Linked DNA regions of Lepisosteus oculatus. The protein of the gene in region 1 interacts with the protein of each later gene in a pairwise test. Links are inferred from orthologs where the notes say so. Each region holds a gene or a part of one and is shown in the gene's direction. Other genes may lie near its edges.

The links.
Region 2: the proteins of wbp11 (region 1) and ddx17 interact in a two-hybrid assay, tested with the Homo sapiens proteins (3 studies listed by BioGRID and IntAct). The link is inferred for Lepisosteus oculatus from reciprocal best matches to the Homo sapiens genes WBP11 and DDX17.
Region 3: the proteins of wbp11 (region 1) and c6h5orf22 interact in binary tests that used the Homo sapiens proteins (3 or more experiments, as listed by UniProt). The two-hybrid records come from large-scale screens. The link is inferred for Lepisosteus oculatus from reciprocal best matches to the Homo sapiens genes WBP11 and C5orf22.

The regions. Positions count from the first base shown.
Region 1 is NC_090707.1:39,512,296-39,522,757, reverse strand, and holds the start of wbp11 (WW domain-binding protein 11), read left to right. Parts: upstream 1-6,006; 5' UTR 6,007-6,222; intron 6,223-6,872; 5' UTR 6,873-6,895; coding exon 6,896-6,959; intron 6,960-7,566; coding exon 7,567-7,598; intron 7,599-7,686; coding exon 7,687-7,780; intron 7,781-8,713; coding exon 8,714-8,910; intron 8,911-10,118; coding exon 10,119-10,252; intron 10,253-10,328; coding exon 10,329-10,462. Other genes in the region: bglap (osteocalcin), read left to right, coding at 734-794, 1,822-1,866, 2,261-2,384, 2,481-2,583. UniProt on the Homo sapiens protein: Activates pre-mRNA splicing. May inhibit PP1 phosphatase activity.
Region 2 is NC_090707.1:38,634,168-38,644,302, forward strand, and holds the start of ddx17 (probable ATP-dependent RNA helicase DDX17), read left to right. Parts: upstream 1-6,140; 5' UTR 6,141-6,602; coding exon 6,603-6,658; intron 6,659-7,332; coding exon 7,333-7,489; intron 7,490-8,759; coding exon 8,760-8,856; intron 8,857-9,150; coding exon 9,151-9,284; intron 9,285-9,450; coding exon 9,451-9,516; intron 9,517-10,135. Other genes in the region: dmc1 (meiotic recombination protein DMC1/LIM15 homolog), read left to right, coding at 82-228, 611-693, 1,351-1,403, 1,875-1,916, 2,269-2,341, 2,757-2,848, 3,151-3,224, 3,414-3,528 and 3 more. UniProt on the Homo sapiens protein: As an RNA helicase, unwinds RNA and alters RNA structures through ATP binding and hydrolysis.
Region 3 is NC_090701.1:6,467,939-6,478,096, reverse strand, and holds the start of c6h5orf22 (UPF0489 protein C5orf22 homolog), read left to right. Parts: upstream 1-5,661; 5' UTR 5,662-5,843; coding exon 5,844-5,915; intron 5,916-6,419; coding exon 6,420-6,565; intron 6,566-8,025; coding exon 8,026-8,175; intron 8,176-8,936; coding exon 8,937-9,399; intron 9,400-10,158. Other genes in the region: drosha (ribonuclease 3), read right to left, coding at 1-56, 1,115-1,361, 1,889-1,969, 3,175-4,037.

The DNA.
Region 1 (10,462 bases):
CTGACACTGCACTGAGAGAGAAGGGGGTTAATACACACACTCCTCCTGCACACTACTGTACACTGACACTGCACTAAGAGAGAAGGGGGTTAATACACACACTCCTCCTGCACACTACTGTACACTGACACTGCACTGAGAGAGAGGGGTTAATACACACACTCCTCCTGCACACTACTGTACACTGACACTGCACTGAGAGAGAAGGGGGTTAATACACACACTTTTGTACACCGACATTGACATAAGCACCTGTTTATGTTTTTCACAGGTTAATAAGGTTCCCTGTAGCAGTGAATTATACAGTAGTGCGGATCAGAAATGTCAGGGTGTGATTTACTTTTCTAAACAGTACGGCTCTGCAGCACAGCTGGTGTCACTCAGAGAAGCTCCGTTCCTCGAGACCCACAGACACGCTGCTGAGGGCGACACGCTGGCCCGGGGAGGAGGGGGGCCGCCGCGCGCGGTCAGCGGGTTCACGAGCCGCAGACGAGTGCGCATCGCCCGCGCAGCCGGGGCACACCGCCATCTGGCGGCCGCGCCCGGAACGACAGCTGCCTTGTCCGCGGTGAGGAGGAGGGAGAGGGCGTGTCCGGGCTGTGTCCAGGGGTGTCGCAGCTGCCGGCCAATCCGCAGGCAGCGTGTCCCCCAAGGCGGGCTGGGAACAGAGCTATAAACAGGGTGGCAGGAAGAGACAACCACACTGTTCACCTCACTGAAACAGCAAGACAAGATGAAGACCCTGACCGTCCTCGTGCTGTGTGCCCTGACAGCTGTGTGTCTGTCCACTGGGGGTGAGTCTGTCTGTCTGTCTGTGTGTCTGTCCACTGGAGGTGAGTCTATCTGTATGTCTGTCTGTCTATCTGTCTGTGTGTCTGTCCACTGGAGGTGAGTCTATCTGTCTGTCTGTGTGTCTGTCTGTGTGTCTGTGTGTCTGTCCACTGGAGGTGAGTCTATCTGTCTGTCTGTGTGTCTGTCCACTGGGGGTGAGTCTATCTGTCTGTCTGTCTGTCTGTGTGTCTGTCCACTGGAGGTGAGTCTGTCTGTCTGTCTGTCTGTCTGTCTGTGTGTCTGTCCACTGGGGGTGAGTCTGTCTGTCTGTCTGTCTGTCTGTCTGTGTGTCTGTCCACTGGAGGTGAGTCTATCTGTCTGTCTGTGTGTCTGTCCACTGGGGGTGAGTCTGTCTGTCTGTCTGTCTGTGTGTCTGTCCACTGGGGGTGAGTCTGTCTGTCTGTCTGTGTGTCTGTCCACTGGATGTGAGTCTGTCTGTCTGTCTGTCTGTCTGTCCACTGGAGGTGAGTCTATCTGTCTGTCTGTCTATCTGTCCATGTGTCTGTCTGTCTGTGTCTAAATGTCTTTGTGTCTGTCCACTGGAGGTGAGTCTGTCTGTCTGTCTGTGTGTCTGTCCACTGGAGGTGAGTCTATCTGTCCATGTGTCTGTCTGTCTGTGTCTATATGTCTTTGTGTCTGTCCACTGGAGGTGAGTCTGTCTGTGTGTCTGTCCACTGGAGGTGTGTTTGTCTGTCTGTGTGTCTATCTGTCTGTGTGTCTATCCACTGGAGGTGAGTCTGTGTGTTTGTGTTTATATGTCTGTGTGTCAGTCCAGTGGAGGTGAGTCTGTCTGTGTTTCTGTGTATCTGTCGGTGTGCCTGCCTGTCTGTCTGTGAGTCTGTCCGCTGGAGGTGAGTCTGTCCACCTGTCTGTGTACCTGTCTGTGTGCTTGTTCATCTTATGTCCGTCGAGACTTTTACTGGATAAACTGCACACACACATGTACAGACTCTTGAGGCTGAACTTTCTGATCCTATCTTTAAATTCCAGACTCCGATGTCTCTGTCAGCGCCCCGGATTCTCATAGCACAGAAGGTGAGAATCCTCCTACATGCTGGGGTCCTCCTGCCTCTCCCGCCCACTGGGCTCAGCAGACATGGGAGGAGTCAGGGTGTGTCAGAGAGGGAAGGAGAGGGAGGAGTCAGGGTGTGTCAGAAGGGAGAGAGGGAGGAGTCAGGGTGTGTCAGAAGGGAGAGAGGGAGGAGTCGGGGTGTTTCAAAGGGGGAAGGGGAGGAGTCAGGGTGTGTCAGAGAGGGAGGGAGAGGGAGGAGTCAGGGTGTGTCAGTGGGAGGAGGGGAGGAGCCAGGGTGTGTCAGTGGGAGGAGGGGAGGAGCCAGGGTGTGTCAGTGGGAGCCCTGATTATATTTTAGAGGGAACAGCGCAGTGAGGCAGGTTCTGTGTGACCTGGCATGTTCTTGCCGTGTTGCAGAAGTGTTTGTGAAGAGAGACCTGGCCTCCTCCTTCGTCAAGAGACTGAAGAGGAACATCGGGGCTGCAGGGGGTGCCGCAGGGGGCGCTGGCGGCGCCGGACTGTCGCTGCAGCAGCTGGAGAGGTGAGGGGCCGTGTGCTCGCCTGAGGGGGGCAGGGGGAGGGGACAGGCCCGGGTGGGCCGAGTGTGCATCATCTACTCGTCTCCCTCTCTCTCCAGCCTGCGGGAGGTGTGTGAAGTCAACCTGGCCTGTGAGCACATGGCCGAGACCGCCGGAATCGTCGCCGCCTACACCCAGTACTACGGACCAATCCCCTACTAGACCACGCCCCCAAGAGGACGTAGCCCCGCCCAGTCCTGGTGAAGCCACGCCCATCAGTGAGAATTAACCCTTTCAAGACTGGAGCGGGGCCACACGTGAAGAACATCTGCCTATGAACCGACAAACTGTATCTGAACAAACGCGAAAGTCCTCCTGTTAAAGAGAAGAATTTATACATAAGTGCCTCTTCTTCCAGGAAAGTTTTTTTCTGGATGTATAGTATTTCTACAGTATGTTTATGTTAGTCCAGTTGGTATAAGCTGAAGCAGTTAGGAATGGGATCCGGAGTATAAGATTCCGACTCGGGTCTGCCGACTGCGTGTTGACGTCTCGTGTGACCTGCCGTGTCACGTGACCGGGCCGCGCCGCGCCGCCTGAACATCCTGCTGTGCGCCGCCGGGCTCCAAGCAAGCCGAAATAAACACTTCCAGAGCACCTCTCTCTCCCTGTGTCTGTCAGCCGTGCGTGTGTGTGTGTGTCAGGAGGTGTGTGTATCTGGGTCTATGTGTGTGTCAGGAGGTGTGCGTATCTGGGTCTATGTGTGTGTCAGGAGGTGTGTATGATTGTCAGGGTGAGTGTATGTGTGTGTCAGGAGGTGTATGTTTGTGGGTCTGTGTGTGTCAGGAGGTGTGTATCTGGGCGTGTGTGTGTCAGGAGGTGTGTATCTGGGTCTGTGTGTGTCAGGAGGTGTGTGTGTATCTGGGTCTGTGTGTGTGTCAGGAGGTGTGTATGATTGTCAGGGTGAGTGTATGTGTGTGTCAGGAGGTGTGCGTATCTGGGCGTGTGTGTGTCAGGAGGTGTGTGTATGTGGGTCTGTGTGTGTCAGGAGGTGTGTGTATCTGGGTCTGTGTGTGTCAGGAGGTGTGTGTATGTGGGTCTGTGTGTGTCAGGAGATGTGTGTATCTGGGTCTGTGTGTGTCAGGAGGTGTGTATCTGGGTCTATGTGTGTGTCAGGAGGTGTGTATCTGGGTCTGTGTGTGTCAGGAGGTGTGTATCTGGGTCTATGTGTGTGTCAGGAGGTGTGTATCTGGGTCTGTGTGTGTCAGGAGGTGTGTATGTGGGTCTGTGTGTGTCAGGAGGTGTGTGTATATATCTGGGTGTATGTGTGTGTATATGTGTGTCAGGCTGTGTGTGTGTGTGTCAGGCTGTGTGTTTATATATCTGGGTGTATGTGTGTGTATATGTGTGTCAGGCTGTGTGTGTATATATATATATCTGGGTGTATATGTGTGTCAGGGTAAGTGTGTGTGTGTATATATCTGGGTGTATATGTGTGTCAGGGTAGGTGTGTGTGTATATCTGGGTGTATATGTGTGTCAGGGTAGGTGTGTGTGTGTATATCTGGGTGTATATGTGTGTCAGGGTAGGTGTGTGTGTGTATATCTGGGTGTATATGTGTGTCAGGGTAGGTGTGTGTGTGTATATCTGGGTGTATGTGTGTGTATATGTGTGTCAGGGTAAGTTGTGTGTGTGTATATATATCTGGGTGTACATGTGTGTCAGGCTGTGTGTGTATAGATCTGGGTGTATGTGTGTGTACATGTGTGTCAGGGTAAGTTGTGTGTGAGTATATATCTGGGTAAATACATTCATAAAGCAGGTTTAACTAATTCAGGATTTCTCAAATCATCCCGGTAGACTTCACCTTACAGCTGCGTTCAGGTGAACTCAGGCTTCAGTTATCCGGTTACAGTCCAGTTAGAGGGTTCAGGCGACAGCAACAGTCTGCATGCGGGACCAGGAGCTACAGCTCCTGAAGGAAGCGCTGGGATAGAGTGGAGCTACGGCACCCTGGAGCTCTGCAGGAGCCAGAGAAGACGCCTGGCAAGGAATCGCAGATCAATCCAACCCGGAGGTGACAGGTGTCCAGATAAACGCAGGCAGGTGCTGGCAGGAGGATGGCACTGACGTGGGGCTCTGCCTGAGGCTGGAGGGCTTCACACTTGTACACTATTGTCTGGATGTGTTTCCGCTCGCTGGGCTGTTGGGGGGGGGCCGCAGGGCTCCTGTACAGTGCGGCGCCCTCCTCGGAGTGGAAGTGTGTCCTGATTTGAGCAACAGGAGAGTAAGACTGGAGCCGGAGGAATCATCACCATCATCAACTCAATAAAGGCTGTTTTCCGGTACCGGGATATTTCCTTTTCCCAACATTGTTGTGAATTAAGTAGCACAGGTGGGAGTCCCCCCCACCCGGATGCAGAAAGTCTTAAGCCAGGTAGAAATGTCTATATGTTGTAGGCTCTAATTTTATTTTCAGATGGTGTGAATTGATTTCCTATTAAAAATCAGCCTAGTTGTGCCCTGTGGAGTATTTAATGAGGTTGTCTGCACAGTCCAGAGAGTGTATTACATCAGGAAATTGCTGTAAGAAATGTTTAGATCACAGTGCAGAGCTACAGAGAACAGAACTACATTCGCAGTGGACAGAATTAGATATGAGAACATTACCAGCTAGTTCATGAAACCCCCGCTTGATGATTTGCACTAATGTACAGCCAGGAAACCTTCTGAACCGTTTCAGTGCAAACACCACTTTCCTCACTGCAGGGCACACTGTGATATACTGAAGCGCTGTGCTCAGCCCGACCAGCAGTTTGAGTTTCTGCTCACACTGAGCTGCAACAAGCAGTATTAACAGTGTGCGGGTTTAAGAGATCGTGAATGTAAGGTTTACTCTGCTGAAACGGTGAAAGGCCATCTCTAAATCTCAGCGGCAGTAATGCCCTGCAGACTGAGTAATCTGGCTTCGTGAGATCTCCCTCTGTGATGTGTGTACAGCCCACAGCCATGCATACAATACAACCCCTGTCTTCACCCCAGTCCCAATCAAATCCCAGTCAGTCGTCAATACGCTGGATTCTGAACACAGCTCTGTTTATTGCAGAGACAGCTGCAATACATAAAAACTCAGAAAAGGGGTAGAAAAGAGTCAAGGGTCTGGGGTGTGTTTATACCCACGCACACGATTATGATGGAGAATAGGGAGAGCCATCGGTTAGCATGCAATACTGATATAACAGCACAGAGCAGAGCAATGCAAGGTTGTGAGTTTGTGCCTCACCTGGAGCAGTTCTTTTGGGGTGGTGCTCTGTGGCTAAGGATCTGTGCCTGTGACCGGAAGGTTGCCGGTTCAAATCCCGCAACCGGCAGAGGAATCCTGCTCCGTTGGCCCCTGAGCAAGGCCCTTAACCCCCACTGCTCCAGGGGTGCTGTATAAATGGCTGACCCTGCGCTCTGACCCCCAGCTTCTCTCCCTGTCTGTGTGTCTCATGGAGAGCAGGCTGAGCTTTGTGAAAAGACAAATTCCTAATGCAAGAAATTATATATGGCCAATAAGGTGATCTTAATCTTAATCAAGAAAGCTGAAATTGAAAACGAGGGAGGCCCCTGTCACATGATGAGGGTACACGGCCTCAGGAAGCGCGGACGTGACGTATTTTCCGGCGATGGCGGGCGAAGATGGCGGCCGGTAGCGCTAAGGGCTCATTTGAATCCAGGCAGTAAACACAGCGCGCGAGTGTTTGATAAGGGACCCGGGGCTCAAAACCCGCTCCCGGTGATTACCGGATCTTGGCTTCACGGAACGGCCGGTGCTCTGGAAGAAGCAAGGTCTGCCTCTGGATCCGTGTTCGCGTCTGGGTCAGTGTCTCCGGTCTCTAGACCGTGCGTGTGCTTCTCCGTCCTCGGCTCTCAGTCCGGTTTATCCATCTTTTTCACAAGTGCAGGGCAGTGCTTCTCTGCATGTGTGCGCCAGTGCAGAGACGTTAAGGAAACGCCAAACGTTGAAACAGCAGCAGCAGCAGTTAAAACGTTGCAACAGCAGCAGCAACAACACACGGCAACACACGGCACAGGCAGTGTGAGGCAGTGGTAGGGGCAGAGTTCAGGAGTCTGGCAGCCTGTGGGAAGAAACTGTCTCCGGACCCGGGGATTCGTGCCTCTCTGCTCCTATAACTCTCACCAGAGGGAAGGCTGGTGTCCTTAGCATTACTCCCCGCCTTCCTGAGACCGCGAGGTGTAAACATGTCCACAGCAGTGGGGAGCTGTACCCCAGTGATGGACTGGGCTGGCCTGATCACCCCTGCTGCCAGACCACACTGATCCCGCACGAGAGCGCCTGTAGCGTGAAGCAAGGACACTGGAAGACAGGCAGGTCGTCTTGTGTCCACACACGGGCTTGAGGGGCTTTCCTGCAGCAGGTTTGGGGGTCTGTGATGGTCTGGGAGTGTCTGTGTCTGTTGGAGCGTCTCCAGGTCCTCAAGAGCTGACTGCCCTTCTCTGTGTTTCAGGGTGAGAGGGAGACAGCGCCACCATGGGGCGAAGATCGACGTCCTCCACCAAGAGTGGGAAATTCATGAACCCCACTGACCAGGCTCGTGAGTACAGCTCCTGTCCACTGTAATAACATTATACTGTCCACTGACCAGGCCCTTGAGTACAGCTGTGTCCACTGTAATAACATTATACTGTCCGCTGACCAGGCCCTTGAGTACAGCTGTGTCCACTGTAATAACGTTATACTGTCCACTGACCAGGCCCTTGAGTACAGCTGTGTCCACTGTAATAATGTTATACTGTCCACTGACCAGGCCCTTGAGTACAGCTGTGTCCACTGTAATAATGTTATACTGTCCACTGACCAGGCCCTTGAGTACAGCTGTGTCCACTGTAATAACGTTATACTGTCCACTGACCAGGCCCTTGAGTACAGCTGTGTCCACTGTAATAACGTTATACTGTCCACTGACCAGGCTCGTGAGTACAGCTGTGTCCACTGTAATAACGTTATACTGTCCACTGACCAGGCCCGTGAGTACAGCTGTGTCCACTGTAATAACGTTATACTGTCCACTGACCAGGCCCGTGAGTACAGCTGTGTCCACTGTAATAGCGTTATGCTGGCATTACACTGGTATCAATGGGGCTGGGATGCGAACTGGACACTCTGGCTTATCTGACACTGTCCCTTCCTGTCCTCTGCAGGGAAGGAGGCCCGGAAGAGGGAGCTGAAAAAGGTGAGACTGTCTGGAGTGTCTGCCATTCTCTCCTGTCTGTCTCTCTCTCTCCTTGCCTCTGTGAACCCCTCTCCTCTCCTCTCTCCAGAACAAGAAGCAGAGGATGATGGTCCGAGCAGCAGTGCTGAAAATGAAGGACCCCAGACAGATCATCAGAGACATGGAGAAACTGGATGAGATGGGTAATGATGTGTTAATTAACTAGTCCTAGTTAATCACTAACTGCCTGACAGTCTCTTGTGTCACACACTGTATTATTATTATTATTATTATTTATTACTGAGAGACAGGCTCGCTATCTGTTCCTCAGGCTGGGACAGATCACACACTGTATTATTATTATTGAGAGACAGGCTCACTGTCTGTTCCTCAGGCTGCGACATGAGATCACACACTGTATTATTATTGAGAGACAGGCTCACTGTCTGTTCCTCAGGCTGGGACAGGAGATCACACACTGTATTATTATTATTGAGAGACAGGCTCACTGTCTTTTCCTCAGGCTGGGACAGGAGATCACACACACAATTATTATTGAGAGACAGGCTCACTGTCTGTTCCTCAGGCTGTGACAGGAGATCACACACTGTATTATTATTATTGAGAGACAGACTCACTGTCTGTTCCTCAGGCTGGGACAGAAGATCACACACTGTATTATTATTATTGAGAGGCGGGCTCACTGTCTGTTCCTCAGGCTGGGACAGGAGATCACACACTGTATTATTATTATTGAGAGACAGGCTCACTGTCTGTTCCTCAGGCTGGGACAGGAGATCACAGACTGAATAGGAGTAGAAGTTTTGGTCGCTGTTTCTTAGGTGTCGCCAATACTTTAATATTCTTTTCTGTGTTTATCAATAGTGGGTACTGGCCTTATTCGGCCCTGTACCTGTTGTTAGGGGACCCCACACTTCACTGCAGTATAGGGCAATGGGCTGGGTTACCCTTTGAAATACTGGAGCCAGATTCTTGTTGTTGGGTTAATATTGAAGAGCCTTCTTATCGTGTAGAATGGCCTGAGTGCCTTCACTCTCTCTGCCTGACCTGATCTTTCTGTGTGAGAGAGAGACCCGGTCTCTGTTTCCGTGTGTGACCCGGTCCGTCTCTCTCAGAGTTTAACCCGGTCCAGGTGCCGCTGCTGAACGAGAAGGTTCTGCGGGACAAGAGGAAGAAGCTGCGCGAGACCTTTGAGCGGATCGTGCGCCTGTACGAGAAGGAGAACCCGGACACGTACCGCGAGCTGCGCCGCCTGGAGCACGAGTACGAGACCAAGCGGGGCCAGCTGTCTCTCTACTTCGACTCTGTCAAGGTCTGTGTGTCTCGGAGCAGGGCCAGCTGTCTGTACTGGACTGTGTGTGTCTCGGAGCGGGGCCAGCTGTCTGTACTGGACTGTGTGTGTCTCGGAGCGGGGCCAGCTGTCTGTACTGGACTGTGTGTGTCTCGGAGCGGGGCCAGCTGTCTGTACTGGACTGTGTGTGTCTCGGAGCGGGGCCAGCTGTCTGTACTGGACTGTGTGTGTCTCGGAGCAGGGCCAGCTGTCTGTACTGGACTGTGTGTGTCTCTCTCGGAGCGGGGCCAGCTGTCTGTACTGGCCTGTGTGTGTCTCGGAGCGGGGCCAGCTGTCTGTACTGGACTGTGTGTCTCGGAGCAGGGCCAGCTGTCTGTACTGGACTGTGTGTGTCTCGGAGCAGGGCCAGCTGCCTGTGCTGGACTGTGTGTGTCTCGGAGCGGGGCCAGCTGTCTGTACTGGCCTGTGTGTGTCTCGGAGCGGGGCCAGCTGTCTGTACTGGACTGTGTGTCTCGGAGCAGGGCCAGCTGTCTGTACTGGACTGTGTGTGTCTCGGAGCAGGGCCAGCTGTCTGTACTGGACTGTGTGTGTCTCTCTCGGAGCGGGGTCAGCTGTCTGTACTGGCCTGTGTGTGTCTCGGAGCAGGGCCAGCTGTCTGTACTGGACTGTGTGTGTCTCGGAGCAGGGCCAGCTGTCTGTACTGGACTGTGTGTGTCTCGGAGCAGGGCCAGCTGTCTGTACTGGACTGTGTGTGTCTCGGAGCAGGGCCAGCTGTCTGTACTGGACTGTGTGTGTCTCGGAGCAGGGCCAGCTGTCTGTACTGGACTGTGTGTGTCTCTCGGAGCAGGGCCAGCTGTCTGTACTGGACTGTGTGTGTCTCGGAGCGGGGCCAGCTGTCTGTACTGGACTGTGTGTGTCTCGGAGCGGGGCCAGCTGTCTGTACTGGACTGTGTGTGTCTCGGAGCGGGGCCAGCTGTCTGTACTGGACTGTGTGTCTCGGAGCGGGGCCAGCTGTCTGTACTGGACTGTGTGTGTCTCGGAGCGGGGCCAGCTGTCTGTACTGGACTGTGTGTCTCGGAGCAGGGCCAGCTGTCTGTACTGGACTGTGTGTGTCTCGGAGCAGGGCCAGCTGCCTGTGCTGGACTGTGTCCATTACTGACACTGGACAACAGGAGACACGACCACGTTCCTCACGCTCACGTCCCCTGCTGCTCCTGTCTCTGTCCCAGAATGCCGAGCTGGTGGAGGTGGACAGTATTCCTCTGCCGGACATGCCTCATGCCCCCTCCAGCATCCTGATCCAGGACATCCCGCTGCCGGGAGCCCAGCCGCCCTCCATCCTGAAGAAGACCTCGGCGTACGGGTCAGTGTGGCCGCGGGCGCGTGGGCTTGCCGCGGGGAGGCGTGCGTGCGCGTTAACCTGTCTCCTCGTCTCCTAGGAAGGGCTTTGTGTCGCTGTCGACCCCCACGTCCATACAGGGCGTCCCGCGCCTGCCTCCCGGACGCAAGCCCCCCGGCCCGCCCCCCGGGCAGCCCCCGCCCCACCTGGTGCAGCTGTACTCGCGGAGGGGAG
Region 2 (10,135 bases), about 880 kb from region 1:
GGGTCATCTGAATGACCGCAGCGCGCGAGACTTTCTTTCTCTCTCTCTCTTTTTCCTCCCGCCCTTGTCCTTCGCCCCCAGAACATGGCCGACATCAAGAAGCTGAAGGCGGTGGGGATCTGCACGGTGAAGGGCATCCAGATGACCACGCGCAAGGCGCTCTGCAACGTCAAGGGCCTGTCGGAGGCCAAGGTGGACAAGATCAAGGAGGCTGCTGGGAAGATGCTGGTGAGAGCCGCGGCCAGGGGACTGATGCTCCGGACGTGGTGCCCCCTGCCCTGTGCAGACCAGAGTGCTGTGCTGGCCGCAGTGTCCAGCCCTGTGCTGACCGCAGCTCCGTGTTGTCTGCAGTGTCCGGCAAGAGCTGTGCTGACCGTGATGTCCAGCCAGGCCTGTGCTGACCAGAGGCCTGTGCTGACCGCAGTGTCCAGCCAGCCCTGTGCAGACCAGAGGCCTGTGCTGAATGCAGTGTCCAGCCAGCCCTGTGCAGACCAGAGGCCTGTGCTGAATGCAGTGTCCAGCCAGCCCTGTGCAGACCAGAGGTCTGTGCTGACCGCAGTGTCCAGCCAGCCCTGTGCTGACCGCTGCCCTGTGTGTGCATGTGTTGCAGGAGAAGGGTTTCGTGACGGCCTACCAGTACAGTGAGAAGAGGAAGCAGGTGTTCCACATCAGCACCGGCAGCGCGGAGTTTGAGTTAAGAGCGGAGTGGGGTCACCCCTCGCGCCCCCACACTCTCACAGGCATCCCCTTGCTCCCCGCTTTCCAGCCTCTGCGTTCATTTCGGTTTTTCATCAGCAGCAGGGAGTGAGAGGTCTTCCCATTGTAGTTGTATTTAATTCAAGCACAGAACAGGGGAAAAGAGGTGTACATGCTGTACAGATCCTATGCCAGATCGCTTTTTCCATTTTAATGTGTAATTATTTCAAACTGCGCCCCCTACCCTGCACTTACCCTGCCTGTGCAAATCCTGTGCAGAGCGGAGTGCTGTGCTATCCATGGTGTCCAGCCAGCCTTGTACAGACTGGAGCTCTGGACTGACCAGAGCCCTGTACTGACCAGAGCCCTGTGTGGACCGGAGCTCTGTACTGACCAGAGCTTGTACAGACCGGAGCTCTGTACTGACCAGAGCTTGTACAGACCGGAGCTCTGTACTGACCAGAGCCCTGTGCGGACCGGAGCTCTGTACTGACCAGAGCCCTGTGCGGACCGGAGCTCTGTACTGACCAGAGCCCTGTGCGGACCGGAGCTCTGTACTGACCAGAGCCCTGTGCGCACCGGAGCTCCATACAGGAACCGACAGGAACGCGTCGGTCTTGTCCTCTCACTGCCCTCCTCTCTCTGTCCTTGCAGCAAGCTGCTGGGGGGAGGGATAGAGAGCATGGCCATCACTGAGGCCTTCGGGGGTGAGTCGGCCGGCGGGCTCCCTGGGGTCCATACCGCGCAGTCGGGGCTCAGACTGCACCGCAGAAGGTCATCCAGCCAGACTGTACAGCTCTCGCACTCTACCTGCTGCCTGCCATGATATGTTGCCTTTATGATTGATGTCCAGAGCTTTAATGCTGTGAAACAGCCATGGCCTGAAGATATAATACAGTGAAAGAAGCTGTAATGTTGTAACTGAGCCCAGAATACAGTGACTGAGCCAGGAATACAGTGATAGATGTTATAATACAGTGAACTGAGCCACAGCTGAACATGATTTATGCAAAACAAGACAGTGTTAAGCCGTAGTGCTGTAAGAGAAGGTGAATTATGTGAAATAGCTGTTGAAGCTGTGATACACAGATGTACAGTATGATGATACAGTGACGGGCCCCAGCGCCCTTTACTCTGTATCCGGTTGGAGTTTCCCTTGTTGGATTGTGTTTTTACAGAATTCCGGACGGGAAAGACGCAGCTCTCCCACACTCTGTGCGGTGAGTACTGTCGCTGCAGGAGTGGTCAAGGAGGGATAAACTCCTTTCATCTACACGCCTACATGAGGGCAGTCGTGATCCGTGTTAAAATGTAAAAAACTCCTTTGAACCACAAGGGGTTTTTCCATTTCAATCGAGAACTGAAAATCAATCTGGGTATTGTAATAATATTGAAATTCGATTGTTTTTTAGTCTTTCGTGTGGCTGGAATCTGTTTTTTTTGTAAAGATGTTTCTGTTTGTGACGATAAAAACGGAAGAAATGTTACAAAGCGGCCGTGTTCGGTGCCGCGTCGCGCCGCGCTCTGAGTCTTTCCCGTCACTGTCGTCTGCGCTCGGACTCGTTCCCGCAGTGACGGCGCAGCTCCCGGGAGAGGACGGATACTCCGGAGGGAAAGTCATCTTCATCGACACGGAGAACACCTTGTATCCTTCCGGGCTCCTGCCAGCCCTGACCGCGAGGGCGAGTTCTGGGGTACTGTGTGCGGTTCTGGTCGGCGTGTCACGGGTGGCTCAGTCGTTAGCATCGCTGCCGCACAGTACTGGGGCCCTGGGTTCGGTTCTGGAGGAGTTCTGTCTGTGAGGAGTTCTCCCTGTGTTCACGGTGGTGTCCAGCAGGTGCTCTGGTTTCCTTCCAGAGTCCAAAGACATCTTAATAGGTTAATTGACTATTGGGAAAACTGGCCCTGGTGTGTGTGTGTGTCCTGTGATGGGCAGGCGTTCAGGGTGTGGCCCGCCTGGCGTGTGTTTCCCAGTCCTGTCCTGGGAGTGTCGTGTGTTTCCCAGTCCTGTCCGGGAACAGCCTTGCCTGTTGAGCTCCTTAGCCCGAGGGCGCTGCCAGCCGGCCAGACAGACTGAGGGACATCGCCGACAGGTTCAATGTGGACCACGACGCCGTGCTGGACAACGTGCTGTACGCTCGGGCCTACACCAGTAAGGGCCGTCCCAGAGCCTGGGTCTAGACGATAACTTTTTAACTCTTAACCCACGCACACCTGGGGCTGTCACGCTGACCTGTTTTAGGCTCAGATGTAGCAGCATTGTCTTGTAAAAAAGTGCACTTCCAGTCGTTCGCCTTCAGGGTGCAGAATAACAGCAGACAGCAGATCGCTTTCTGGCGCCAGTTAGCCCTGGTGACTGAGGGCCCAGCGGGAACGCAGGGGTACCCCGGGTCCAGGACCGGGCTGCGTTTCGGGGGGCCGGCGAGTGTCTTGACGTGTGCCCCCCGTTCACAGGTGAGCACCAGATGGAGCTGCTGGACTTCGTGGCGGCCAAGTTCCACGAGGAGGGCGGCGTCTTCAAGCTGCTGGTGAGACGACCTGCCCCCTCCCTCTCGCCCCTTTCACGAAATCCCTTTTATTTTTAACCTGAAGCCTTCAAACCTTCGTGTCTGAGGAGCGGGGCTCTTCGGGGCTGGAAGACGCCGCCGCGGGGCGGGGCGAGGTCCGTGTGTCCCCTGGTCGCGGCTCTCGCTCGTTTGCTCTCTCTCCCCCCGCAGATCGTGGACTCCATCATGGCGCTGTTCCGGGTGGACTTCTCCGGCCGCGGCGAGCTGGCCGAGAGGCAGCAGAAGCTGGCGCAGATGCTCTCCCGGCTCCAGAAGATCTCCGAAGGTGCGCCCCTCGCTCGCCCGCGCTCGGGGAACCCGGGGCCTGAACCTGCGTTTAATCTATCGTGTTTGCTCTGTGTCAGAGTACAACGTGGCCGTGTTCGTGACCAATCAGATGACGGCGGACCCCGGCGCCGGCATGACGTGAGTAGACTGGAGAGGGACGCTGTCTCACCCGGCTGAGTCACTGGAGTCCTGCAGGAGGTCCCCGAGTGAGCGTGGGACGGGCAGGGCAGGGGGACTCTTCCCACTCACCCCTGTGCCTCTGACTCGTGTGACTCGCGGCCGCCGCTCTGATTGGGGGGCTGCTGTGTCCGTCTCAGGTTCCAGGCAGATCCGAAGAAGCCGATTGGCGGGCACATCCTGGCGCACGCCTCCACGACGCGCATCAGCCTCAGGAAGGGGAGGGGCGAGATGCGCATCGCTAAGATCTACGACAGGTACGACGAGGCAGCGTGCCGGGACAGCGCAGGAAAATACCGGTGCAGGGGTCCCCAGTCCCAGTCCTGGGGGGACAGTGTGTCTACAGCAGGGGTCCCCAGTCCCAGTCCTGGGGGGACAGTGTGTCTACAGCAGGGCTCCCCAGTCCCAGTCCTGGGGGGGCAGTGTGTCTACACCAGGGGTCCCCAGTCCCAGTCCTGGGGGAGCTAGTGTGTCTACACCAGGGGTCCCCAGTCCCAGTTCTGGGGGGACAGTGTGTCTACACCAGGGGTCCCCAGTCCCAGTTCTGGGGAGACAGTGTGTCTACACCAGGGGTCCCCAGTCCCGGTCCTGGGGGGACAGTGTGTCTACACCAGGGGTCCCCAGTCTTGCTCCTGGGGGGACAGTGTGTCTACACCAGGGGTCCCCAGTCTTGCTCCTGGGGGAGCAGTGTGTCTACACCAGGGGTCCCCAGTCTTGCTCCTGGGGGAGCAGTGTGTCTACACCAGGGGTCCCCAGTCCCAGTTCTGGGGGGACAGTGTGTCTACACCAGGGGTCCCCAGTCTTGCTCCTGGGGGGGACAGTGCGTCAACACCAGGGGTCCCCAGTCCCGGTCCTGGGGGGACTGCAGATTTTCAGTTCAGCTGGGCTGGTAACAGCACAAAGCAGCTTGTTATCAGCTTGATTGGACCCATTAAACAGCTCCTCACAGCTCTTCAGGAAACCCAGGAGACACACTGGCCAGCCGGGACTGGGGACCCCCGCACTACACCAACACACGGGAACCCCACCCCCCTCCCCGAATTCCACAGGCCCCCCGCGGCTTCGAAAACGTCGCTGTCGCTAATCTCTCCTCGGCCGCCGGCGGTCCCAGAGCCGGGCAGTAACGGGCGCTCTCCCGTCTCGTTCCCTAGCCCCGATTTGCCAGAGAACGAGGCCACGTTCTCCATCACTCCGGGCGGGGTGGCAGACGCCAAGGAGTGAAGGAGCCACTGGGAGGGAGAGGAAGGAGGAGGGGGGCGCAGGGGGACCCCCATCCCGAGGGCTGTCAGTGGAGTGACGAGACAGACGCTGTTCCCTGTGTTCGTGGGCACCAGCGAGCCCTCGCTTCCGAAGCCTGATTGATCTGTGTGTTTCTGAAGCGCAGATTGTTCGCCAGGAGAATAAAATGGTTTATACCGTCGGTGCACCTGTGTTCAGTGGAGGGACAGACAGGGGACGGGATGTCATCTGTTTTTATTATTTCGACAGGGAGGAAAACTTGTTCCCTTTTGGTGCCGTTTGTGAAATAACTCCCTGTCTCTGCCGTTCTGAACTAATTCGGTATGGAAGCTGTTGAGGGCAGAGAACACATTAACTGTTGCCTACACAGCGGGTCTAATCATTGAACTGTGGGGCTCTGATATCCCTCACCCGGGTCCAAAGAGTCTTACAGCTACGTGCACCTGTAGAAAGCTGCACGTTTTGAGTTACCAACTGTGAAAGAAACATCCCATGTGTGTCTTAAGTGAGGAAATAATTACGTTAATTGTTAAACTGGCTGCTCAGGTCGGACCGCAAACCAACCTGGGACTGTGTGGTGGCTCTGTGGCTCAGGATCTGCCGTTGCCGGTTCAAATCCCACGGCCGGCAGAGGAATCCTACTCTGTTGGGCCCCCGAGCAAGGCCCTCAACCCCAGCTGCTCCAGGGGTGCTGTATAAATGGCTGACCCTGCGCTCTGACCCCCAGCTTCTCTCCCCGTCTGTGTGTCTCATGGAGAGCAAGCTGGGGTCTGCGAAAATTCGTAATCCACAAGACAAATTCCTAATCCAAGAAATTGTACATGGCTAATAAAGTGATCTGATCTGATCTTCTCTTAAACCAGAAGACACACCTCAGCTTCTAAGCCCATGGGTTGGTCAACCTCTGTAAATCTCTACTCCTGCTAATCCTCAAGTCTCTAAGTGATCTTCAGCACCCGGGTTAATTAAGAGAAGGGGCTGTCAATAGAGAAGGTCCAAAGTCTAGCGCCCCGTCTCTGCAGCGAGGGGGGGCGATCACGTGGCCGGCTGCGCAAACGGCGTCGCGGCCCCCCGGCGCGCACGCAGAGGCCCCGCCTCTCCGACGGGCGCCCCCCCGTATTCCAGAACCTTCTCTACGCCCACTGCGCGACGTAGCTGCGGCGCGCTCCCGCGGCCCTGCGCACGCACCGCTGTTTTTCTGTCCGCCATTTTGTCCTGTGTCGGCAGGCAGCTTTCGCAGAGCCGGGGGGAGATCAAGCCAACTTTACGCGGTTATCGCAAAAAAAAAAATCCAAAAACAAAACATCCACCCATACTCGTTATCTAGCGTTTTTTTTGTCTAGAGAAAGAAAAAAACGTTACTTTTTTTCTTTAAACGCAAAACACGGTTTCGTTTCGGGCTGTTCGTAAACGAGACGGGCAGGCCGAGGGTGCCTTCGTGTTTTGAAGACACAAAACTCGCTGTTTATATAGAGCTGATATATATTTTCCACACCGCCTTTCGGTATTCGGCTCTTCAACGGATTTAAACCCCCGGTTTCGGGAATTGGAGGCGACGGTAGTTTTCCCGGTGGCGGCTGTTGAAGACCCAGCCCGACGCTCGCCGGAGCAGAGGCGCCCTTGTTGTTGTTGTTGTTGTGTTGGTTTGTGTGGAAGATGAGGGGCGGTTCGTCATACGGAGACAGAGACCGGGACCGTGGAAGGGACCGAGGGTGAGAAAAACCTCCATTTCTTCTCGTGTGGGGTGTCTTAGCGGCCTGTATTCGCTGGAAACGCCGGGGCTGGTTGGTCTCTGTGGGGAGACGGCCCGTGGGGGGGTCCTGCGTGTTAGTGGGGGGTGGTGGTGGTGGTGTTGCCAAACGCGAGTTGCGTGATCTCGGTGGGAGTGAGCGTAAAATTGTTTTTTAAAGGTGGGAAACCATTTCTGAACTAAAAAAAACTGGATTATGTAACCAGGCTTGGAAAGACACATCACCCCCCCGCTGTCTGCGGCCGACCAGGAGACCAGGCTAAATCTACCGCATTAAAAAAACAACAACATTGCTTTATCTTTTTTTTACTGAAATGTGTCGCACAGTGATGGTAAGACGTCCCTGTCGATTTAGTTTTTTTTTTTTAAAAAAAACAAAAATATCGACCATAACGCTTTATTTTTAGCTTGGTTGTGCTGAACCTCAGACGCTCTCGAAAAGCGAGACGCTGGTATGGCAGCTAGTATAAGTGAACTCGCAAACCTTTCTGTGCCCCGTGTGTGTGTGTGTTAAAACCCCACCTCGGGTCTGTTCGTGTTCGGAGAACCCGGTTCTGGGGGGTTAGGAGCGCGCCGGGCTGTTTCTCTCCGGCGCCCGCTTCCTAAACTCTCTGCCTGTCCCCCCCTCACCCCCAGGCCTCGGTTCGGGTCCAGCCGGGGCGGGCCCCCTCCCACCAAGAAGTTCGGGAACCCCGGGGAGCGCCTGAGGAAGAAGAAGTGGGACCTGGAGGAGCTGCCCAAGTTCGAGAAGAACTTCTACACCGAGCACCCGGAGGTGGCGCGCCTGACCCAGGTGCGGCGGCGCGCCCGCTTCCGTGAACGCGCAGGGCCGCGGTCCCGGGGCACGCTGGTGTCCCGGGGGTGCTGCTGGGGGGGCTCTTCGCTTTCATGAGCAGGGCAAAGGCCAGTTCCACGCCGAAACGCGCTTGGAGTGTGGAGCCCTCTTCAGGCGACGCCCGAGCCTGAAAACGTTGTCCTCTTTCTGATTTTCAGTGTGGGACTCATCAGTACTTGTTCCTTGTGCTGCCAGCATGTACTGATGCAGCTCCCTGCTTGAGTCTCCTTGTCTTAATCTCGTCGCCAAAGTGGTATTTTAACGTGAAAGCTTCAGCAGGCATTTTGCCTTATTGGTGAGCCAACTGCAGCGAAATAGCGGAGCATAAAAATTTCCCAGCCCTGGTCCCTGCGATTCCCCTCTTCGATGCCTTTGCCTTAAATGTCAATTCGATTAATTAGGTCTTCGAAATTTTGTTTTCGGGGTCCCGGAAAGTTTTGAGGTTTAATCTGCTCGTAGGTCATTTGAAATGGTTGTTTGTTCAGGAGCATTAAGTGATTAAGAGTGACCCCAGTTCACGAGGGATTAGGGTTAAGAAGCTGAGACTGGGAGCCATCGGTGCCAAAACCGAGATTGTAGCAGTTATGGAGCCCTGATGCAGGGTGAGCTGTTGCAGCATTTCTGAGCAGCACGTGGCAGCTCACACCTTGAGTGTAGGAGCTCGCTCTGCTTTTATTTCAGTGCCGTGTTGCACCGGGTGGGCCTGAGCCCAAGTCAAGGGGTATTTTTCCCTCAGCAGCAGATAAGTGAGAAAACACACCCACAAGCAATACAACACAGACATGGGCAGGAGAATCACCAGCTGAGCAGGGTGTACATGAAGGCTGAAAGCTGTTTGTTTTCGGATTGTGTCTGCGTTCTGAGGGGGGTAAATGAAATTGGTTCAAGGGTTTGAAGGGTCCTCTTGGGTCGGATGTGCTTCATGCTAGACTCCTGACTTAGACATGGGACTGGGCTGAGAGAACAGAACCTGTCTGACAAAACTCCCCAGTTTGTCCTCCCTCCTCAGAGTCGTATTCCCAAACCAGCAGACGAGGGTAAAAATTAGAGCAGTTTCAATAAAAGGCTGATGATTTGTGGATGGTCATGTTATATCCACCTTAAATTGTTTTAAGTGTAAGAGGGGCTGGTGCTCCTGGAGGTGATCCGTCTCCCACGAAGAGCAAGTCCGCTGCGGCATGACCATCCCGCTAATCTCCCCTTCCCCCCCCCTCTGTCCCCCCCGCAGTTTGACGTGGACGAGTTTCGCCGGAAGAAGGAGATCACGATTCGGGGCACTGGGTGCCCCAAGCCCGTCACCAGCTTCCACCAGGCGCAGTTCCCCCGTGAGTATCGTCACCACCGTCGCGTTCAAGCGGTTCGAAACTGCTGTAGCTTAGGACGCCGTCTCTTACTTCCAAAGTAAAACTCAAGTGGCTCGTGGTCGTAAATACGTGGGTGGTATTCGGGTGCCTTTGGCACCGGCCCTCCCAGCCTCTTTCAGCACGTGGCTTTTGATGCAGCCAGTCGCCAAAGTGTGTAATCGATTTGAATTAGCTGTTTAACGGAGTTGACTCCTTGAGTTGACGGGCTGTCGGACAGCAGTGCAGTAGCCTCACGCCTCCCTCGCTCCCCCACAGAGTACGTGATAGACGTGCTGGTGCAGCAGAACTTCGTGGAGCCCACGGCCATCCAGGCGCAGGGCTTCCCCCTGGCGCTGAGCGGCAGAGACATGGTGGGCATCGCCCAGACCGGCTCTGGCAAAACCCTGTCGGTAAGACTCCTCCCCCTGCGTCCCCGCGCCCTGCCCCGCGGTTGGCTGGAGCTCGGAGCTCCGCAGAGCAGCGGGGCTCGCCTTGGGGCTTGTTGATGTGTTGGCCGGTGGCGAGGCGCTCGGAGCTCATACTTCAGTGCCCTTTGTTTCTGTGTTTGTCCTGCAGTACCTGCTGCCCGCGATCGTGCACATCAACCACCAGCCCTACCTGGAGCGCGGCGACGGCCCCATTGTAAGTCACAGCGCCCGGGGTGTCTGTTCGTGGCCGTGCTATGCGCCGTGTCACGTGCGCGGCTTCTCAGACGTGTTAAGGGATGGAAGGGAAGAGGTCACACCAAATGTAAACATGAGGTACAAGGAGTGGCTGTAGTTGGCCTGCCTGAGTTGTGTCCCTGAGTGTTGGTCTGACAGTCTGCCCCTGTCCCCACACTGCAGGACTCATGTCACGTCTGCCCTCTCTGTGCTGGCTTTAATGGGGCGCTGCAGTCCCAATGTTTCAAACCAGTTATTTAGTCTCAGTAACAGGTTTGTTGACGCTATAGAAGAAGTTTACAAACTTTGAATTGAGCACAAAATCGCGATGAACTTGATGAAAGGACTGTAAGTTACCACGTTGTTACAAACCCGCATTTGAGTTCCCTGTGCAGCAGACTTTTCACCGCAGAGATGTTCCAGCGCGATCTGCAGGCAGAGATAACAAGTAAATGGTTTTTGTGGGCAAAACCGTCAAGAAGTCCAGAGGGATATTTCTGTTGGATGAAAAGAGACGTATTCGCAGGCCTGCGTGTTTACAATATCGTAGGGCGGCTTGACCTCGCCGGATGTTTTGTTGCCTTGCTCTGAATCGCAGA
Region 3 (10,158 bases), on another chromosome or scaffold:
TCAAACCGGTCATAGAGATCACGTAGTTTGCTTGTTCCAACGACAGTGGAGTCACCCTGTTGAAAAACAAATTGTGCTCTGGGCCTGACGAATCTAAAAAATGAATTGCTGAATTGCTCATTGATTTAGTGTTCCTGGCATATATTTATGCTTCAGGAGAATAAGAAATGGTCTGCTGTTTTATTTTAAGATGGTTCCCCAAATTCTTAAGGAGAATCATTCAAAAGGTTTTGTAGGTCGCATTCAATGGGTAGCAGTTGTAATCCAGTGCAGCAGGGTTAAACATATCCAATTAAGTCTCAAGACCTCTTCCAGGCTTAGAAATGCATGTCTACAAGAATAATTACTCAAATACTGCATTTGTAATATTATTTGATTATTTGCCAAAAAGTTTAATTGAGGAAGGTAATTTTAAATTATTAAAAAATGTAAACATATAACTGTCATCTCTGCTTCCTAGTGACCTCTAGCACAAACACAAGTCTAATTTACTACTAGAATCTAGAAGCAATTAAGAAAAACATACCTGCTTAATAAAAAAAAAACAAGAAACTAAACACACCACCAATCTTCTCGCAACTGGATAGTCTGCAAAAAATATGTTTTTGTCTGTCTGTTACATTTGCTTAACTGCTGCAAAGATGTCAAGCCCACACCAGAAGAAGGCTCAAAAGCCATAACACTGTGTTTATCTACTTGTCAGCGTGGAACTAACCTCTATTTGTTCCTCTGTTGGTCGCACACTGATGCAGCTCTTAACTCAAACCACATCAAAGTCACAAGTTCTTTGATGCACCTGCTCTGTTACATGTTTTTTTCTTCCCATTTCATCAGGGGCATGAAAACATCTGGAGAGCTCGGTCTTAATCCATTAAGTAGGATACAAATTTCACATAAGTTTCACCCATATAAGTGAGGTGAAGTTGGAACAGTTTTGCCTGGAGTATTTTGCCTTGCCACTCCAGAAACAACCTAACTGCATTTCATTACCTATGTTCCTTAAACGTAACGCTTTGACAAGTTGAACTTCGGATGATTTTATATAGAATAATCGAAGCAGGAGCCCTTCCGAGAATCTCGGGTCTGCTTTGATGCCAGCTGGTGTCATACATACCACCTGGTCCATTGGATCATTGGAGTAGTAGTTCTCAGCATGAGTGCAACGAATCCAGGCAGGCTTGAGAAGCTCCTCCTCCTCTTTTTCATCTTCCATTCTCTCGGCAGGAGTCTCTTCCGGCTCTTTGCTCTTCATAAAGGAGTAGCTCCTCTCTCTGTTACCTGCCTGACTATCCATCCTCCTCTCTCTGTCGTCTTCCCAGCGCATTCTCTTCCTGTCCCGACTGCTAGAGCGACTCCGTGAGCTATGGCACCAATTATCACAAAATAAAATTCGGGATGATCCGAGAAACAGTGAATCAAACAAATACTTGTGGTTCACTCCTTTATAAGCCAAAACTGGAACTTTAACATCAAACAATCTGCAGTTCTGAGTTATCTCTTTTGCTTTCTCAAGAGTCTTTCTTGAATCTCTTTCATTTTCCTGGGAGGAAAATCAACATTGTCCTAAAAGGATTTAAGACAATTCTTATTTTTTAATTGGATTTTTTCACCCCAGGCGACTCTATAATATTGAATATCATTCCTCATTAAAACAATTCTCTTTATTTGGGTTAAATCATATCTGGAATGAATATGATATGAATCATATTTGGAATGTGAATCAATCTTCCCTCCTTTCCTGTAATGATGCAAATAGTGGAAAAAAAGAACATCTAGCGAACGGTTTTAAAACTTGGATTTTGAAAAGCCAACACCTTGTGGCACATTGTTAATACTGACATAGATAAAGAGAATGTAGACAACAGTGAGTTTAAAACCACAATACCACCTCCTGGGCCTCTTGTAGTCTTTCCTGTGTGGCCTTTCAGTAGAAGGTGATCTCCTGCTTTCTCTGTGCCGATGCCTATCCCTAAAATTAAACACAGAGTTGTATTATTTTCTGAAATGCATATTTGACTGTCTAATTAAAACAACACAATCATTGTGATAATCTCAAAATCTCTTCCTAATCTCTATAATGTCCCACGTAGTGAGAAGAGTGTGAAATAACCCATCAGCAAACACAGTATTAATTTTCCCACTGTATTTTGTTTGTTTGGGGATGTATTAATAATACATTCTCATTTGTTTAACTGTACATGATGAAGATTTTTGTTTCTAAAAAAACATTTTAAAATTAAAAGGAGACAAATTACATAAATCAAGTCAGCTTCAGCTGTGTTCACAAAAGTGCTGTCAAGCACCACCCCAGAGGTTGCTTTCCTGCAGAGTTGGATAACGCTCTTCCGGCAGGGCAGTACAAGAGCTCTGAGAAAAGTGCTTAATAAAGATATCAACCATGGAAATTATCTGGCACTGTACTGCAGTACAACTATGTTATTTAGAGAAGATGCAGTATACGGAAGTCATTCAATACCAGTAGTCTTAAAAAGCCTGACTACATTTAGTAGTCCATTAGAATGTGGTCAGAAAGAAATGAAGGATTTACCTTTTTTGGACTTAAATAAAAGGAAGGAAATTTGTGACTTTGAAATTGTGGTGAAAGCAATCAAAATCCTGAAATACTGAAATTCTGATTGCACATTCCCCTATTTGGCATGATCAGGACATGCATCACTTGCAAAATAAGTGATACTTAATAAATATTACTTGTAAGCCCTTCATATCTGAATCCTGGAGAGGAGGGATCACATCTTTTCTACCAAGGCAGTTTATAAGAACTTGAACAATTACAACTCAATCTATTACAGATATATTACACTATAACAATCTATTCTGATGGATGTGTTGGAGAAAATCGCAGGAAAGAGAAACATCACATATTCTATACATCAAGTACAAGTACTTGTTCAAAACATCAAGTGTCCTATAAGAAGTCTAGAATTAGAAGAGACAGGGGACCTCTTAGCTCGTTATGAAACAATGAAAGACACTTACATTACACAACCCTATAGGTCTGGGTCACATTTTAGCTCGTGCATGCTATATTTTAAATCCGATACATAAAATGAATAAAAGCGGGCCCTGGGTTTCAACACTGATGCATTTCAGTGTGCGCATTTAAAGGATATCCATGCGTCGACGATGTGCACGTGCCAGTCGAGCTCAACTTACCTGCTACGTTCCCGACTCCTGTGCCGAGGCGGCGTCCTGCCTCGCTCATGCTCGGACCTGTGGCGGCTCCCTTCCTGCCTCCGCCTGTCCGGGCTCCGCCCCCGGTCCCTACGGTCCCCGCCGTATTCCGGCCTGTACCTGTCGCCGTGGCCGCCGTAGCTGTAGCCCCTGTGCCGGCGCTCCTCGTGCCGCCTGCTCCTCTCCGGCGACCTCCGGTCGCTCTGGGGCTTCTCCGGCTTGTACTGGCCGCCGTGCCGGAACTGGTCGGCCTTGAACGAGCCGGAGCCCGGGCCGTAGCCCGCGCCGCCGCCGAAGCCGGGCGGCGGGAACGGGGGCTGGGGGTAGCTCATGGAGTAGGGAGGCTGGTAGCCCAGGGGCTGCGACATGGAGGGGGGCGCAGGGGGGTGTGGGGGCGGCAGGGGCGGGGGCGGCGGCAGCGGCGGCACCGAGGGCATCATGTAGTGGTAGGAGCCTTGAGCTGAGGCCGCCGGTCCGGGCAACAGGCTGGCGGACGAGTTCGGCAGGGGTGGAGGGGGGAAGTTCGGGGGTCCGGGAAACCCCTGCCGAATCGGGGGGTTGGGGAAGGGGGGGCGAACCGGGCACTGGTTCAGCGCACTCTGACCCTGGGAGGGCACCGGCGGGGGGTACGGCATGAAATCGGGACGCGGAGGTATGTAGCCAGGGCTGCCCTGACTGGGATATCCGGGGCACGAAGGCGGCGGCGGCGGCTCGTAATGGAAGGAAGGCATGGACTGCTGCGGAGGAATCTGGCGCAGGTTCTGCGGCCGGTAGCTCTGCGATCCCCCCCGCTGACCGGAGGAGACTCGTCCCCTGGGACAGCCGCGCCCAAGATGGAATGACATCTTGATTCTTAAAGAGAGGCAAAAACAACACAAAAACAACAAGCATTACATCTCACTAATGGTAGTAACAGCAGTCAAGAAAGTCAACAATAAAAGGTTTCAACAAACGCAATTCAACAAAAAGATTCTATGATGGACTGCACTGCACTAGTTATACATAAAAACTGCTAACTAGACCAAAATGTTGAGATCTTCATGTAGATATATAGAGAATATATAGAGGATAAGTCTATAAAGCAGTGTGAAATAAAAGATCATCTTTATTTTTAGACTGAACACTGTTAGAAATAAGAATGAAACTGGTGCCCAAATCTGTTTCGATTCCCCACACACTAATGTATTTTCAATTATTTGGTTAAACCTAATGAACAGACCTACGCAGCAATAGGAATGCCTCTTTTTTTTTTTTAATCAGAGTGCTTGACAGTATCATTCCCAATTCTGTCTGCGCATTGTTAACTGACAAACAATAAGAGCTGTTTAGAAAGCAACGGGAGAGCAACAGTTTTAAACCAAGTTAAAACGGAGTTTTGATCACTGTATTTCGTGGAAATGGCAGGCATAAAGCTGATCATATTTAAGTCTACATCCTGTATGGCATCAAAGATGTGATGGTATCACTGTAATTCATGGAAACGACACACAAAAGGCTGCCCGTATGTGAGTCTCTAGCCAAAATGCGAAAAAAAAGGTTAAACATCGAATCAATCAAATATTTCAATGAAGTGGTCTATAAGTTTAAATGGCTGAAGTGCATACTGTATGTTAAATACGACGCAAAAAAAGAATAAAAGTTGATGCTGGATTTCTATATTGACGTATTTCATCGTGCCCATTTAAAGTGTGGGACTGCTACCGATGTCCGGCATCGTTGTGTATCAGTATGATTTGCTGTTTAAAAGCGCCATAAATAATTATGAGCAAGATTTTTTTATATATAAAATAAAAATACCGTCAACAATGCTGTGTGTTTCGTGACTGCACCATCTGACTTGTATAGGTAAATAACATAAATTCGTTCAAATTGACAACATGGGGGGAAAAACATTATTGTAGCCTGAGATATTGTAGCCTGTTCAGTTCTTAATATAACCGAGACAAACTAGCCTATCGCTTGCACGTTTTTTACGTTTTTTTTTTACCAAAGCATACAACGGTATAAAGAAATTCAAAGCTGCATGTTACAGAAACTTACCTTTAACGATAAAATGTTTAGAACAAAAGACAACGATCGCCAGTCTCCAAGAAGAGTTAAAACGATTTACCTAAAAGAATTGTTGCTAGCAAGATAAAAAGTTTGGTCATTACCCTACATTTTACATGTGTATCGCCGCTTCAAGCTCAGCACCATAATCTCAACAGGAAATGATCCCTGTTGATATCGGCTCGCCTTCCTTTCCTCTGAGCGGATGCGACGACTGGCATATTCCGGTTTGTAACACGCAATCACTTTAAAACAACAGCTTTTCAGTTTTTTAGCTTCTCGACTCTGTACCATGTATTCCTAGCAACGCATAAATCTAGCCGCTGCCTTCATGAGACAAGGGAAACTGGAAAGATGTTTTAAGATTTAAACAACCGGGGAAGCATAAGTGAAGGCAACGTGTTTCATCGCGGCGCAAAAGACCGAGACGGACGACTTCGGCCCAATCGCTTGCAGAGACGGGACAGCTCCACCAATCGCGGCTAGGAAACGGCGTGTGTTACACTGAGACGGGTCCCCCGTCAACAAGGCTAAAATAAACTGCAGGCAGGCAGAGAGCAAGTGGTTTGTTTTTTCTTTTTTCTTTTTTTTGAGGAGGTGGTATGAATTCCACTCAAGCGCCAAGTAGAGTTTATAAAGATGTCCCCGTCTGGATAGTGGAAGATCATCATGATGTGAGTACCAGTTTCACTTTTTTTTAATCTAATTGTCTGCGTTTCCTTTCCCTGCTTACAGCCTTAATATATCCAGCTTTCAGAATACGAATTGCAAATTGAAAGCAATAGTTGATTGTAAAATACAGTCTTAACCCTGTAGTATAATGAATACCGAAGACTGTACAAAGAGGAATATTGTCATCAATATGTATTTATGCTATTTATAGCCTCATGTATATACACTGCGAACTGTGGTCAGTTTTGTTTAATCAATCCTGTAAGTGTTCCGGGTAAATTCATGTAATATATATATATAGTTATAGTTTAAGACCCTCACAAAAATAAAATGCGAATAAAAAAATACATTTTGGACATTACCAGCTATTTTCCCGAAGAATAAACAGTACTATTAATGCTACACTGTTGTAACAAAGTACAATTATGGGAAAGCCGACAGTTGACAGATCACGTTGCTCGTTTTACAAACCGCAATTGCAATCTCTGCACTTTATTCTAATACAGGTGCTACCTCACATCTATCGCGCCATTGGCTCCAGACATTTACCTATAAAGAACATCAAAATGATCCATTTAGATTCCCACCCCGACCTGCTTATTCCTGTCAACATGCCTGCTGACACCGTGTTCGACAAAGAAGAGCTGTTTAGGTAAGATGTGTTCATTGGTCACAGATATTCTGAAAGGATTGCAGGAACAAACATGATAATGAACATGATGGTTGTTTTTTCATGAACATCTTACCTGTGGTTTGATAGCTGTGCGAGGAAAAAAAAAAAGAACATATGTCTCTCGCTGTCTCTTCTCTCCTGATCCGAACACTGATTGTCTGTCCATGTGTCCCATTATCCAATTTCTAACAGCTTCTTCCAATTCAGGGTTTCCATAGAGCCAGAACCTATCCCAGCAAGCAGCAGGCTCAAAGGAGGGTACATCTTGGACTGGGTGCCAGTCCATCGCAGGACGCACACTCACATCTAGGGCCAATTTTCCTGGATGCCAATTAACCTACCAGTATGCCCTTGGAAGGAAACTGTCACACCCAGAGGGAACCCACGCAAACACGTGCAGAACATACAAACTCCATGCCGATAGCACCCCAGGTTCAAAATTGAACTCAGGACCCCAAGCACTACGAGGCAGTCATGCTTACCACTGCGCCACCCTGCCGCTCTGCTTTTAGCTTGCTGTGGGACCGAATCACCCATGCAATATTAAGTTAAATAGTGTGTTCCTTTTAAGAAGTGTCAATTGCTTGCACATATTAATATTAATTTTAAATGAAATTAGCCTTGTGTCTGTGTAGTTCATGAATTTGTATAAGTCTCTTTATAAAATCTTTCTGGATATCTAAATATTTTGTACTGTTTGCTACTAAATTAATCATTTAGGCTTTCCACACCTCTCATCCTGTTATCCTCTAGTTTCATTCTCACCTGCTTTATGCCCATTTCCCAACTGCTCCCCGTCCCTTTCACCTACTCTGTTGTTTTGTCCTGCTATGCCATATTGATCTGCTACTGTACTTTCTCTCCCTCCTTCACACCTGAAGAAGGCTCCACAGACCAAGTGTTGTTTTTCTTTCCCTACCTTTTAGCAGCGAATGAACCTCTACCTGACCCTTTTAAATCAAGGCTTCTCTACTATGTTCATCACCTGTTCGAAGAATTCTAGCAAGAAAGTAAAATAAGACATTCCTTTCTAATCTTTGCTGTTTTTTTTAAATGCCACTGCTTTCTTAGTACTCTCCCACTTTATTTCTATCGCTACCACAACTTGGCGACTGTAGCAGAAGACTAAGGGGTCTATATCGGATTTTTTTCAATGACTCATTTCAAATAACAATTTCATTTTTGTTTCACGGTATTGAATTAAGTGCATTCAAGTATTTTGTATTTCATGACTTTCTTTCCACAAAGCTTTTAACGTTTAAAGCTGAGTTATAATACCTGATATATTTTGTTTGCTGGAGTCTGTAGTTCAGTAATGTTTGCCACGACCCGAGGAGCTCTGTAATAAGTAGGCATAAATTCTTAGGGGAAAAAAGCCATTAATCTGTCCCCTTGAATTTTAGTCTTAAACATTATCTGATATTTTAATATCTTTCCAGTGAGCTAAGTATTGAGAATTGGATTATGCCCATGGTGTATGCAGGGCATTTATCTAATGTCCTATGGCTTCACCCTTCCTGGGCACAACAGATTACAGAGGGGGAGCACAATATGTCGGTTGGGAAGGATTCCTCTACAACAACAATCAGGTAAATTCATAGTACAACATGTTGATTTGGCATTGTTTTATATCGGCTATGTAGGCTATGTGATTGCTGGTTAAATGTACAATAACCATTGTGCTACTAATACATTAGAATATGGCTAGAATTCACTGTTTCAACCAGTTAGTTCATCAATAATACATCTCGAAATGTCACATGTTAATGGCTGGATGTGTAAGTGTTTATTTTCAATGGAAATGTGGAAAATGGACATATGGTATAAAAAGCGGTTTGGCAAATGACATGACATACATCACAAATTACTTTACTTTTTTTTATTTATTTGCCTTTTTATCTCTAACGCTCTTTGTTTTTCATAATGCCAGGTTTTTCTTTCTGCCTGACTTTTTACTTTTCGTCAGTCTGTTTTTTGTTGCTCTTTCATTTGGTATTTGAGCTTGTCCCATAATCTTCTGAGGAAACCCTTAAAACAATTTTAGATGATGGGCTCACAAGATTTTCTCGTTCAAATGCATATTCAGCTACACGGCCTCATGATTGTGCTCCATGGTTTCTCAGTACACTTACTGGTCCATAACATAATTTCTAAACAACTGTTAGCGCAACATTGAGCTTACTCTTCATCTTGACACAGGTTTTCTTAGCACTTTTTCCTGTTAATCACGATGATGCATGCACAATATAGTGAGAGATAAGTTCATTCTTCATGTTGCAGTGGCTCATACCTCGTCCTCTGCTGAACAATATAACAAGAAACCTTCACATTTTTTTTCTGTGTGTCTCAGGGTGACGAGTAAAGATGATTATTTTTTAAGCGATGGGCTCTATGTCCCTGAAGATCAGCTAGAAAATAAGAAGCCTTTACAGCTGCATGTTGTCAGAGTTATCCCAGTGGAAAATGCTTGGAAGCAAGAGGAGGAAACCGTGGAGTGCGCTGCTAAAAGACCTAAATTACAGCCTTCGGGTGGGCTGGATGAAGTTGAGTCCTTGGCAAAGAAGACACCTGCAGACATGAGTGTGGAACCAGCAGGGGGCAGCAAGTCCACCACAAGTAGCAGTGGCCATGGAGAAATAGCACAGCCCAGCAGAGGATCTTCTACCAGCTGCCTTTCAAAAATCAAACTGGACTCGGAAACAGACCCCGTGAAACGAATCCTCCCAGTTATCCAGCAAACAGATGCTTACATTCTGGATATTGACCTGGATTTCTTTTCATGCAAGAACCCCTTCAAGGAAATGTATACCCAGGTAATGGCAAAGATATGTACCTTGGGTTTCTTCGGTCTCTTCCACAGCCAAAAATGTTTTGAATGCGGTGAAGTGCAATATAATCACAAAGATTGGGTTAGGTATCCACTCATTTTCTAACCACTTCATCCAGTTCAGGGTTGAGGGGGAGCCAGAGCCTGCCCCGGCAAGCAACAGGTGCAAGGCAGAATACAGTCTGGACCGGATACCAGATCATCACAGCGCACACTCACACCAGAAGCCAAGTTACCTGCTAGTATGTCTTTGGTCTGCGGGAGGAAACCATGCAGACAGCACCCTAGATCTGGAATTGAAATTAGGGCCCCAGCACTGTAAGGCAGTAATGCTTACCACTTTGTCACTGTGTAGGATATTGTTATTCTAATTAAGTTATTGCTATATTAGGGGGATAAATATAGTTATGAAAAGTTAGAGGGTATTTATATTAAGCCAAATATCTAGCAAAAAACGTAAATTATTAGTCTGTTAAATCGCATTTAGTTCCAAGTCCACCTTCCGTTTCTTAGCTAAATTGTCCATATATCTGATGATATTTATGACCATGCTTTTGAAAACTTCAAGGACAACAACATACAGATGCTTTAGTGTTTTCCTTTATACCATGACAAATGTACATCTCTGGCTGAGTCAAATATGGGCCTTTCTGAAAGAACGCCACGGGCCTCCAAATGAAGAGAACGTGTCTTTCATATCCATGGTGATTTGTGCCATTGTCGGGCCCTCCTCCATTGACTGTAG